Linked DNA regions of Oryctolagus cuniculus. The protein of the gene in region 3 purifies or fractionates together with the protein of the main gene of each other region. This does not show direct contact. Links are inferred from orthologs where the notes say so. Each region holds a gene or a part of one and is shown on either strand. Other genes may lie near its edges.

Region 1 (3,648 bases), on a different chromosome or scaffold from region 3:
CTGAAGAAACTTCTTTATAATAAAAAAAATTTCTTGTATAGATGATTTGATTGACTTTAATTTGCAATGGTACCTTGATATACTATCCCATATTAATATTTCATTATGTATAGTTTTTCATCTGTAAAGTTCCACCAAAAAACAACTAGAAATTTCCCACATTTGGTCCATAATTTTTTTTGCAGATCAATTAAACTAATAACCTCATAGAGCAATTTGCACTTGGATTTGTCTCTGCTTGTATTCGGCTTCCTGACTGTTCAAAGTGGCATCAGAACATGAGGAGAGAGAGGTGGAATCAGATGAGGTTTGGGAGAATAGAGTGAGGAAAAGAACTGAGCGCGTAGAAAATGAGAGAGACTGAATCGAGGTTAGCTAACCGGATCATGGTACTATGACCATCACATTTTGCGCTGAGGTAGAGAAAATACCTGTAAGTTCGATTTCTTTGATTCACAGAAGCTGTCCTCACAGGGCTCTGCTGCGAGGGAGCCATATTACGGGTTGGGCTAGGTACGTAATCATTTGGTACCACTGGAGGACGCACTGGCTCCAGTGTGCGATAGGGGGAGTGCCGCCTACAAAAAGAAGAGCGTATGTAGTGTGTGATTAAGCAAGTTTCGGCACAATAAACTCAGAGCTGCCAGTAGTGCAATACAATTGGAAAATGAGAGAGGAAATGTCTTTTAACATAACCCAGCTACCAATTGCAGTCTTTCCTAAAGATTTACTTCTCCATCATTAGGGTTCTGGTGAGCACGTATTGTTAATTTGCCATCTCCAACCTCATTTCCCTGTGCTAATGCAATTTTGTTCATTTACTTTTCTGAGAACACAAGGTTCTCCACCATGTATGCCAATGTGTCCTAGACCCAACTCTTAGAAGAGATTATTGTAGTATGTCACCGTCTCCCAGCTGCATTGCATGAATGTTCCTACTATCGTTCTCCCCTCCCTCCCTCACCTAGGGTAACCTAACAGGGGGACCACAAGCCTCGAGTTTTGAATCCATAACCCCCATACTGCCTATCGATACCACCCACAACAACTCATTTCCCTTTCTAGATACTAAATACATTAAAGTATATGTGTACACAAAACACACAATTTAATCTCATCTTCCACACTCACAACCTCACTTTTTCCCCTCAACTTACACCTTGATATCCCTTTCCTCTTCTCAACCTCAGAGTTCAACATTTACAAGTGGTAGAGAAAAAAAAAATTTTAACAAGACCACCAGAGCGGCCAGCACTGTGGCATAGTGGGTAAGGCCACTGCCTGCAGCACCAGCATTCCATATGGGCTCCGGTTTGTATCTTGGCTGCCCTTCTTCCATTCCAGCTCCCTGCTTATGGCCTGGGAAAGTAGTAGAAGATGACCCAAGTGCTTGGGTCCCTGGCACCCACGTGGCACACCCAGAAAAATCTCCTGGCTCCTGGCTTTAGATCAGCCCAGCTCCCCAGTTGCGGCCATTTGGGGAGTGAACCAGCAGATGGAAGACCTTTCTCTCTGTCACTCCCCCTTTCTGTAACTCTACCTCTCAAACCTCTCAAATAAATACATAAATCTTTTAAAAATTTTAAAAAGCTGACATCTTACAGATGAGACTCGTCTTTTTTTTAAAAAAATTAAAACTGGCATCTCAAGGTTTGAAAATTAAAGTTTTGTTTTCCTGAAATAATGCTACTCAAATGACTTACGTATTTTTCTCAATAATTCATTTATCAAAAGGCTCCAAGAGTGCTTTTAAACACTGTTCTCCTGGGCCCTTAAATGATGGCTAATTGATTTTGAATGAGATAATTTTGCAACAACCCTGCTGAATCTGAGAGCTGCAGATTCTCCTTGCATAAATATATACATATAAATAATTAAAAATAAATATGGTGCACTTGATGGAATATTGGGCCAAAAGAAAAAAAAAGAAATGTCAGGAGTTTGGGTTTAAAATACTGAAAAGAATGTCAAACATTTCTGAAATTTTAATGCAAATATAAATGACTAAGCAGAAAACTGAGCAACTTCCAGAGACATGATTTTTAGGTAATTTTTCCCAGACAATAAAAATGCTGTTTTCTTCAAGAAGAAAACCTTTACTGACTGAGAACTACAGAGTGGAAGCAATGATACAATTAAGGTACAAAAACCAACAAGAACACCACCACCACCACCACCACCACCAAGGCAGAAGAACAAACACGGTGACTAGACAAAGACTATGCCCAAAAAGCAGGCTCCGACCATCTAACGGCCACGTGGCTCAGCAACCCTACAGTCTACAAAGATGCGACACGACCAATGCTGTTACACGAAGAAAACAAATACTGATGCCTGAGTAAATCTTCAAAATATCAGAGTACAAAACTTTCTTCTTGGACATGCAGCAGGTTATCCTGCTGATTTAATACCTACTAAAACCCTCTAGGCCATATATGTGATAGGAATGTAAATGTTCTACATGAATGAACAGTTCCTCTTGATCACTGTACCCTCATCCCTGTCCCACTGTGCGTGAACATCTCACTTGCATGCTACCCTCAAGTTTGGTCCATTAGATTAATTCCTTTCTAATCAAAGAAGAAAAATTTTTTGTCTATCTCAAATAAAGCCGTCCTATTCCTGACTGGAAATAATTTTTATTCTTTTATTCTTTTGTCTTTCACTGTCTTAACTATACTTCCTCCCCCAACATTATCCTCCCTTATATCCCAATCATCTTTATCCTGTCCTGACCCACAGTGCCACAGTGCTTGACTGGATTTTCGGTTTTGTTGTTTATCTTGTTTTTGTACTTTGTGTTTTTTGGTTGTTTTTTTTTGGTGAGGGGGCCAAAAAACGATTGTCAATTAAAATTTGTTTGCCATATATCCTATAGCCAATGGTATTCAAAACATATTGTCTTTGTTTTATACATTTTTTTAAAAATCCAAATTGTGGTACAGTGACCCTGAAAAGTTTATAAAGGACAAATATTACCCCCTTTTACAGATGAAAAAACTGAACTGTTTAGAGGCTGAGCAGGCAGGAACACACAATAAGCTGCAGAACCAGCCCACAGGTGCACTCCTCTGGCTTCTGGGCTACATTATGCCCAAGCAAATACAAATCTCGATCAAGATAAACCATGTTTACAGTGTGAGGCCATGGAAGAATGTCAGGCTTTTCCATTAATTGACCATTTCTGCTTGCAAAAGTCAAATCCAGAGCCTAAATCTGTAGGAGCAAACTACAGCTCAAGATTCTCATAACATGTTAGACAGAACTTTATCATCTATACAACCTTCTTGAGAAAGACAGTCTAAGTTCAACTGCAATAAGAAAGACCGCAAAAATTTTCTGGAAAAAAACGGAAATTAAAAATTAGACTGCAATTTATAATAAACCATTACCTTGGACTAGGATTTTACCCCCAATTTGAACTGTATTAGAAAAATAATTTCTAAACAAAATATTTCTGATGTATAAATGTGTATTGTCCAGGAAAAGGGAAAATTATACCCATAATATAATCAATTCTAGGAAGGAAACATTCTCTCTTCAAATACTCAAAAATAATTTAAATACAGGCTCTGCTTAGCTTTTAACACAACATTAGGTGAAATCAGTCTGCAGTTACTGAGTTATATACTCACCCAAGAGTCCCCT
Region 2 (3,648 bases), on a different chromosome or scaffold from region 3:
ACTTGCCTCGGCTTCGATCTCATCATACAGGAACTGCTTTTTAAACTTCGTCAGGGCATAGTAGGCACTGTCGTTGTACAGGTCCAAAGGGTAGAGGACGTACCTGCAGGGGGACACGGAGAGCCAGCAGCTTGGTGAGGGCGTCTCGCAAGGCAGCCAGGTGGCCCCTTACTCAGAGACAGAGGGCGGAGGAGAGAGGGCACAAGTTCAGGGCTGGGAGGAGAGTTTCCAGTGCCTCCACCACTTAGAAATGACTTACTCTACAGGCTGCCCGGAAATCCAAAGCCCCAGTGGCTAAGACAAGCAGGGCCTGAGCTGAAGTCTGGCACTAAGACAAATCAGGTGGCAGGGAAGGGCAGCAGCTGCCTGACCCAAAAGAGGGCTTATTTCCCAAGCAGCGCTGATTTGCGGCTGATGAAACACAGGATGGCCAGGTGGGCTGGGAGGACGCTCCCGGATCTTTCTGCAGCCAGACCTGGTGTGTCCTAACCCCTGGTGGCACACCCCACCTGACCTACAGTCAGCTCAGACCTTCCTTCTGCAAAGGATGAGCTCACTGGAAAGCCACCTTCCACCTGCATCCCAGGAACCTCCTTACAGGTCCAATCCTGCCTCTTACTCCATCATGGAAGGTTCTTTGGTTTCCAGGATATGGTCTGTTAGAATCCAAGGCATGGACATCTCAATGGGGAACTGGATTCGCCGGCCCATAGTTAACTCCAGGAAGAATTCTCGGAACCAGAGCTGAGAGAGGTCGCAACATTGCTGGAGAGCTTCTGGAAGTGTAGGGAGAGAGCCTTGGGTTATAGGCAGCACACAAAAAATCACAGTTCTTGATTTTCTTCCTGTTATTGTTATCCTCACTCTGCTAAGTATGCAGCAGGTACCTCACACATACTGAGTAGCACATCCTGTGCCCTTGTACTTCAGACAAGACTAATATTTGCCTGGAGAGCTGCATCTGTTAAGCTTTAGAGATGTGTGGTGGAAGTGGCGGTGGTGTTTGAGGACTTTAGATGCCCCCAGATTTCCATCACCCCCTACAGAGCCATCGTGAAAACATGATTTAAGTGTACAACACACACCTTTAAGAGAAGTCGCCATGCACCCACTTCCAGCTGGGCTGTGGCTCCTTGACCCCGGCTGTGTGGTTCAGAGGCCTTGAAGGCCCTTCCTAGGCAACTCTCTGATGGACAAGTTCTGACTGGTTGTTGAAGTGAGTCAAGCTCTTCAATGCCAAGAGACACAGGACAACCGCACGTCCCTAGGACACTGGTCTGCCACCTGTCCTATAGGATGTGCACCCTACTAGCAGAGGACGGGTAGAGCACAGGGGCTGGGCTGCAGCCTGCCAGGCTCTTCTGTGGGGAGAGTGGGCACTGCTCAACTCCCAGCTGCGGCTTAGCAGCCAAAGGCCAGTGAACGCCTCGTGTGTTTCCACGTTTGCAATCCCGTTTCTGACTCTGCTCCACCAAAGACGTCCTGATAAATCCGCCACAAATGCGCCCTGGACAGCTGCTGAGCTGACCACGTCAGAAGAGGTGAACTGGGCCTGGTCCTCCTCCCCAGCTCCCGCAGTCCACCAGGAAGTGGGGATCCTCCCTTGCAGGCAGACTGTGCCACTGCCGGCCCAAGGGGCTCAGCCACGCGGGAGGCAGGAGCCCCCGCCTCTGCCCTGGGCTCTGCAGCTCACCACTGATGTTGAGCAGGTGTGTGAAGAAGAAGGACTGTTTGTGGAAGTCCTCGATGGCCAGGACGATGGGCCCGTCCAGGCTGCTTCGCAGGGTCTTCTTGGAGCCACTTTTATCTGCGATGAGCGATTCAAGCATCGTCCGCACCATGTACAGCTTGAAGGCAAAGGAAGACGCGGTTAGGGGTCAGCCGCCATCCTGGGCCAAGCTTGCTTTGCGCTGTATTTGTTTTCTTTCTGCTCTTAAAAACAATGTCTTGAGAAGGCACCATGTGAGGCAGAGAAGCGAATTTGCAACTGTGAAAACCTTCAGGAGAGAGACGGGCCACCCCGGGAAGGAGCTCTGCCCAGAACTCTGAGACATTCCTGGGTGGGTGGATCTGGCCACCACCGGTGGTAGTTAAGAGGCCCAGGGAGAGGTTCCTGCCGGCCCTGCTCAGCCAAGGGCACAGGCTTCAGAGGAGAACCTCATCCTATGTCACTCTCGGCCTTCCCAGACAGCCACAGTGGCGTCGTGGGTGGGGCACTGGACTAGGAGTCAAAAGACCTGGGTTCAAGGCCAGGCACTGCCTCTGACTTGCTGTGTGACCTTAGGCAACAAAGCACCCACTCTGGACCTCAGTGGTATTACATACTGTGAGGGGTTGGACCAGGTGTTCTCTCCCTCCAGGCCCTTGCAGCTCTAACCTTCTGCGGAAGTGTGAAATGGGCTAAGATCCGAAAGAGCCCCCCTCCCCTCCCACAGCTCAGAGTTCTGATCCTCTGCATTTTGCAGCCATCACAGGAGGGAAGGCGCCCTCTGGTGGCGAGCGTGCAACGGTGCAGCCTGAAGAAACCCTGGGTGCAAAGTGGGCTCACGTCGGTACTTACAAAGGAGGCTACAGGACAATTAACTCCTGCTTACTGGGAGCCCTAAGCGCCAAGGGCGTGAGTGCGGTGGGACTGTTCGTTCTCTCTGCTAATCTAGATCTTTCCACACCATCTGTCTCTGAATCTGAGGCTGGAAGGGGCCTTGAGGAGTCAGGCTAGTCCATTCCCGCTGCCTCCTGGAGAGCAGTACCCAAGCCAACCCCGCCAGGCGGTGTTATACCAGGGATCGGCAGCCTCTTCGGCCCTGTGTGCCACCAGTGGGGTGAAACAAAGCCCTCGGGGACCACTGGCAGGCCTAAGACACAGATAGGAGAGAAGGAAGAGGGGATGGGAGGGCAGGAGAGACAGGGAGGAGGGAGAGAGAGAAAGAGAGAGAGAGAAAAGCAAGAGGTATTGCATACGGTGGGAAAGCCATCGCGACTGCTAGGGGCCGCCGCCGAGCCGCTCCAGCCTCCCAGCAACCACGCTCACCTGGGCTCCCTCGCCTTCTCTGGGCTCTTCCCCACCACATGGCCGGGCCTGCAGGGCCAGTGCAGCCAGAGACACGCGGGACACCGTCCCTGCGCGCGCTTCCCTTCCCGCACCCCTGCTGCTGGCGGCACCTTCTCCTCCGGGAGAGCCGAGAGGCCCTCTCCTAGCCACCACCTGGGGGCCCCAGAGAACGGAGCTGTCGAGCCCCGTGTGCTGCTGCGTGCGGCTGCTTCCGCCAGACTCTTAACTGTCTGAAAACCTGGTTGCATCCTTAAGAGGGTGAACGCTTTCCCCAACTTCTGTAACCGTACACGTTATTTCCTGGAAGAAACCGCACTGCAGCTACTCCCCATGTCTATCGGGCTACTCCCACGGCTGTAGCGGAGCCCTGCGGGGGAGTCAGGAGACCTGGGTTCTTGTCCCCCCTCCACGTGGGACGCACCGTGTGACTTGGACAAGTCACTTCCCTCTCTGGGCCTCAGTTTCCCCAACAGGGTAAGGGACTGGGACTCTGCCATTGGCTGTGTAGGCGGCTATGAAATACCTACGCGCCACCTAGCTGCAGGGGTCTGACTGCTGCTGACCTCCCCTCTCCTACTGTCTAGGCAGACACTCCT
Region 3 (3,648 bases):
GCCAGCGCATGCGGCAGGCCCCACTAACACGCCCAAACATCTGGTAACCTAGTGGTTTCCAAGTCAGTGGGAGCCTTGCTAGCATGCTGCCCCTGGGATCCACGTTGTAGGACCGCCTTTATAACAAAAGTCCTTTTTGGTTCTATAATAACTAAATTCCTTGGATGGAATCCAAGATGGACCTGGTTTATACCAAATTAAACTCTGCAGGATGCAATGTTACAGCAAACTTTCAATATATATTATATTCACTATGAATTTCAGAAACCAAACAATAATAAATGACAACTGTTCACAGGGTAAACTGTAGCTTCTGTTGCCACAAGCCACTCTGGGATGGGGAGTAAGCTTTTTGATAGACTCTTCTGATGTAAACAACATCTTCAGATAAAAGAGCCTAGTGCTGTTTGTGGTTCAGGCTGGAAAAAGGAAGGAGCCAGCCAGCCGTTACCTGTATGGGGTAAGATTGTTGAGAGGGGGAGGAGTATCACAGGTATTATATGTTTCCAAGACAGGCACTGGGAGAGAGTTTCTGTCAAAGAGCTTCTGGTCCTGAATGGTGGAGCTTCGGAAGGCCTTTCGGGTGTTGATTCCTTGCAGCGACACTGAGAGGAGAGGGAAGGCGTTAGAAAATGGACGACAGGCTGTCTGAGCAAACACTGAGTCACCCCAGTCGGAGAGGCCTCAGCTGCTGCATTTCTTGGCTGCGGCTGTCTGCAGCCAGGTTTTTTTTTTTTTCCTTCCCCTCTGGGGAAGCCCCACAAGGCTGTCAGCAGCCCAGCCATTTCACGACTGAACAAAATGAGGCAACACAAAGGTTTACTATGTGGCCAGATAGACCAGGCCTCTCCTAGGAGGAAGGAATCTTCCAAGTACTTTTATGGTAGCAAAATACAATTGAGAGAAGGGAAATTTGAGCGCTGGGGAACTGGGGGATTGGGAGAAAGAGAGTGTGTGGGGGTGAGGCAGAACTTAAAAGGTTTCTTTACGCCACCCAGGCTTGTCATTTCAGAGCAGAACTCCATAGGTTTCTGTGATTTTTTTCCCCTTGCTTTTTTATAAATTAGGGGGAAAAATTCGAAGAAACTGCTCAGCAGAGCCTGCAAATGCTGAGCTCAGCTTCCTTACCTTCTTCTTCCTTGGGATCCAGCTGAGTGACTTTAACTTGTAGTCGGTCAACCCTCTCAGCAAGGGAGCTTACCCGAGAGGCAAAGGTTTTTGCCTGAGTAAAGAGCTCTCCAAAAATGTCCTCTGCATATTTACCTGCAAAAAGCAAAGAAACCAAGTCACCAGTGCACAGAAGTGACAAAAATGGTCAGGAAACTGGCTACCAAGGCCGGCACGACCCATCCCCATACACTGTCCCGCACCCCCCCGAAGGGAAGTGCCACACTCGAAGAATCTGCTTGCTCTGAGAGATAAAGATACTTTCTCCTTAGCTTCGGCAGTCTGTAGAGAGCACAGCCTTCCTGGATAACTGGACAGTCATGAAACTTGAAACAGGCTGAATAAAACTGAAAGGTGTAATGCAAAAAATTGATGTTGGAAGAGCAGACATATTTGCTTACAGCCCTAGCCCCTTGCTTTTCTATAAAATCACCTGGTAAAATGGTTCTGGAAAACAGACTGGGAGTTAAGAGGACCTTCTGGGTGCCTACAATTAATATGATAAGAAATATCCTCCTCAATGGAGCCACAAAAATGCAATGAACAAGCGTGATGAGTCATGGTATCTTCCAGGGCCCTTGAATTTATCAACAATCCACAAGCAGAGATGTGTAACTTCTCTGAAGGGGTGAAAGGTTACTTTATCTTTTATAACCTACAACTTTCAAAGTCTTTGTTCTGGGTTGCAACCCTTCAAATCTACATCTTAGGGAATAAGTGAAAAGCTGAAAATTTCAAGCCCTCCCTGAAAAACAACATACCAGCGGTCTCTTTCCACAATGTCTTGTTTTTTACAAAAAGAAAAGAGTTCTGTGCTTTCAACCCTGGAATGCAAGGAGAATTTGCAGCCAAAGAAACATAACAGCAATTTGACACTACCTCCATATTGTCATTCCAAGCCACAAGGCATATTCTTCCTAGGAATGAAAAGCGCTGCATAGGAATAAAGACACCATCTGAGCTTTGATTTGCAAGGTGAAGGCAGGCATAAGCAACCTGGCCCAACCAAAAGATAACTTTTCTGGGACCCACATAAGCAGGCTCTGATTTTTAGCTTCTAAGCTACATTTAGGCCTAAGTCCTCATCTCAAGGGGAAGAATTCGTCTGAGAAGTCGAAACAGAACCTGTAGTGTGGCTGAAGCTCACCTTCTAGTATAACATGGAGAGAAAGAAGACCAATCAGCTGCATAGTTTGATTTGCTGGTAAATGAAAGTCAATAAGGGCTTCTAATCAGGAAGGAGCAAGTCCCACATACTGAATGGTTCTGTTATCTGAACAATACGGAAGCTCCCTGCTCTGCTCGAAGGTCTCACACTGGAGCCTCATCTCTACTCTGCAGGTTGGAGGACCTGTCTGATCCCGGTCCATAATATGGCTAAGATCCTATAAAACCACACTGCATCATGCTCATCCTGGCAATGGAAAATTGTGTTTGGAAGGCTAAAGCAGAGAAAGGTGCAACATTATTCGTGGAAAATAAACCAGGTTCAAAAATATCCATCTGTTCTGAAGGAAAAGAAAGCCTGCACCAATTTACCCCTCGGTCACCAAGAGAGTACCAGGGTTTTCTGCTCCTCAGCCAAGAGGGCAATGACAGTAGGAGTTGTGGCTTGGGGTAGCACAGCCGTTTTCCAGATAAAATCTTACAAAGCACCCTAAACTGGGGTAACAATGAGCTCTCCTGTTGAAGAGGGAAGAGGGAATGAGGTGTTGTGAAGGCTACCCCACTGTCACCTCACGTCAGGCAGACTCAAAGGACACTACAAGACATGGAAAGAGCAGCAGACATCGCGGCAGAAAATCTGGGTTAAGTTTCAGCTTTCTATTTAGTCCTGTGTACTCAGCAAGTCACAATCTCTCAGACTTAGTTTCCTTACCTGTAAAACGCAGACAACTATATTTCACCATGTTATAGATGATTTTCATGTATTATTATTATTTTTTAAATTTTTATTTATTTGAGTTATAGAGAGAGGGAGAGGCAGAGAGAGATTATTTTTTAAAGATTTATTTGAAAGACAAAGTTACAGAAAGGCAGAGGTGGGGGGTCTCCCATCCACTAATTTGCTTCCCAAATGGCCCCAACAGCTGGAGCTGGGCCAACATGAAGCCAGGAGCCAGGAGCTGTTTCTCAGTCTCCCACATGGGTGCAGGGACCCAAGCACTTGGGCTATCATCCACTGCTTTCTCAGGCCATAGCAGAGAGCTGGATCAGAAGTGGAGCAGTTGGGACTCAAACCAGCACCCATATGGGATGGTGGCACTGTAGGCGGCGGCAATACCCGCTGGCTCTATAGATGATTTTTAAGATTGTGAATACACACATCCTTTTAAGCTTAGAGGAAACTTTTTTTAAATTTATTTTTATTTATTTATTTTTTTTGACAGGCAGAGTGGACAGTGAGAGAGAAAAAGACAAGAGTTTAGAAAAGTCTTCCTTTACCGCTGGTTCACCCTCCAATGGCCACTGCGGCTGGCG

The links.
Region 1: the proteins of WASF2 (region 3) and ABI2 purify together in Homo sapiens (affinity purification with mass spectrometry; 3 studies listed by BioGRID and IntAct, counting the BioPlex papers as one, with this or other methods). This does not show direct contact. The link is inferred for Oryctolagus cuniculus from reciprocal best matches to the Homo sapiens genes WASF2 and ABI2.
Region 2: the proteins of WASF2 (region 3) and CYFIP2 purify together in Homo sapiens (co-immunoprecipitation; 3 studies listed by BioGRID and IntAct, with this or other methods). This does not show direct contact. The link is inferred for Oryctolagus cuniculus from reciprocal best matches to the Homo sapiens genes WASF2 and CYFIP2.

What each region holds. Positions count from the first base shown.
Region 1 is NC_091434.1:36,665,740-36,669,387, forward strand, and holds part of ABI2 (abl interactor 2), read right to left. Parts: coding exon 3,636-3,648; intron 579-3,635; coding exon 432-578; intron 1-431. UniProt on the Homo sapiens protein: Regulator of actin cytoskeleton dynamics underlying cell motility and adhesion. Functions as a component of the WAVE complex, which activates actin nucleating machinery Arp2/3 to drive lamellipodia formation.
Region 2 is NC_091437.1:44,298,202-44,301,849, reverse strand, and holds part of CYFIP2 (cytoplasmic FMR1-interacting protein 2), read right to left. Parts: intron 2,856-3,648; coding exon 2,781-2,855; intron 1,848-2,780; coding exon 1,694-1,847; intron 777-1,693; coding exon 620-776; intron 104-619; coding exon 7-103; intron 1-6. UniProt on the Homo sapiens protein: Involved in T-cell adhesion and p53/TP53-dependent induction of apoptosis. Does not bind RNA. As component of the WAVE1 complex, required for BDNF-NTRK2 endocytic trafficking and signaling from early endosomes.
Region 3 is NC_091438.1:144,152,897-144,156,544, reverse strand, and holds part of WASF2 (actin-binding protein WASF2), read right to left. Parts: intron 1,264-3,648; coding exon 1,129-1,263; intron 606-1,128; coding exon 452-605; intron 1-451. UniProt on the Homo sapiens protein: Downstream effector molecule involved in the transmission of signals from tyrosine kinase receptors and small GTPases to the actin cytoskeleton. Promotes formation of actin filaments. Part of the WAVE complex that regulates lamellipodia formation.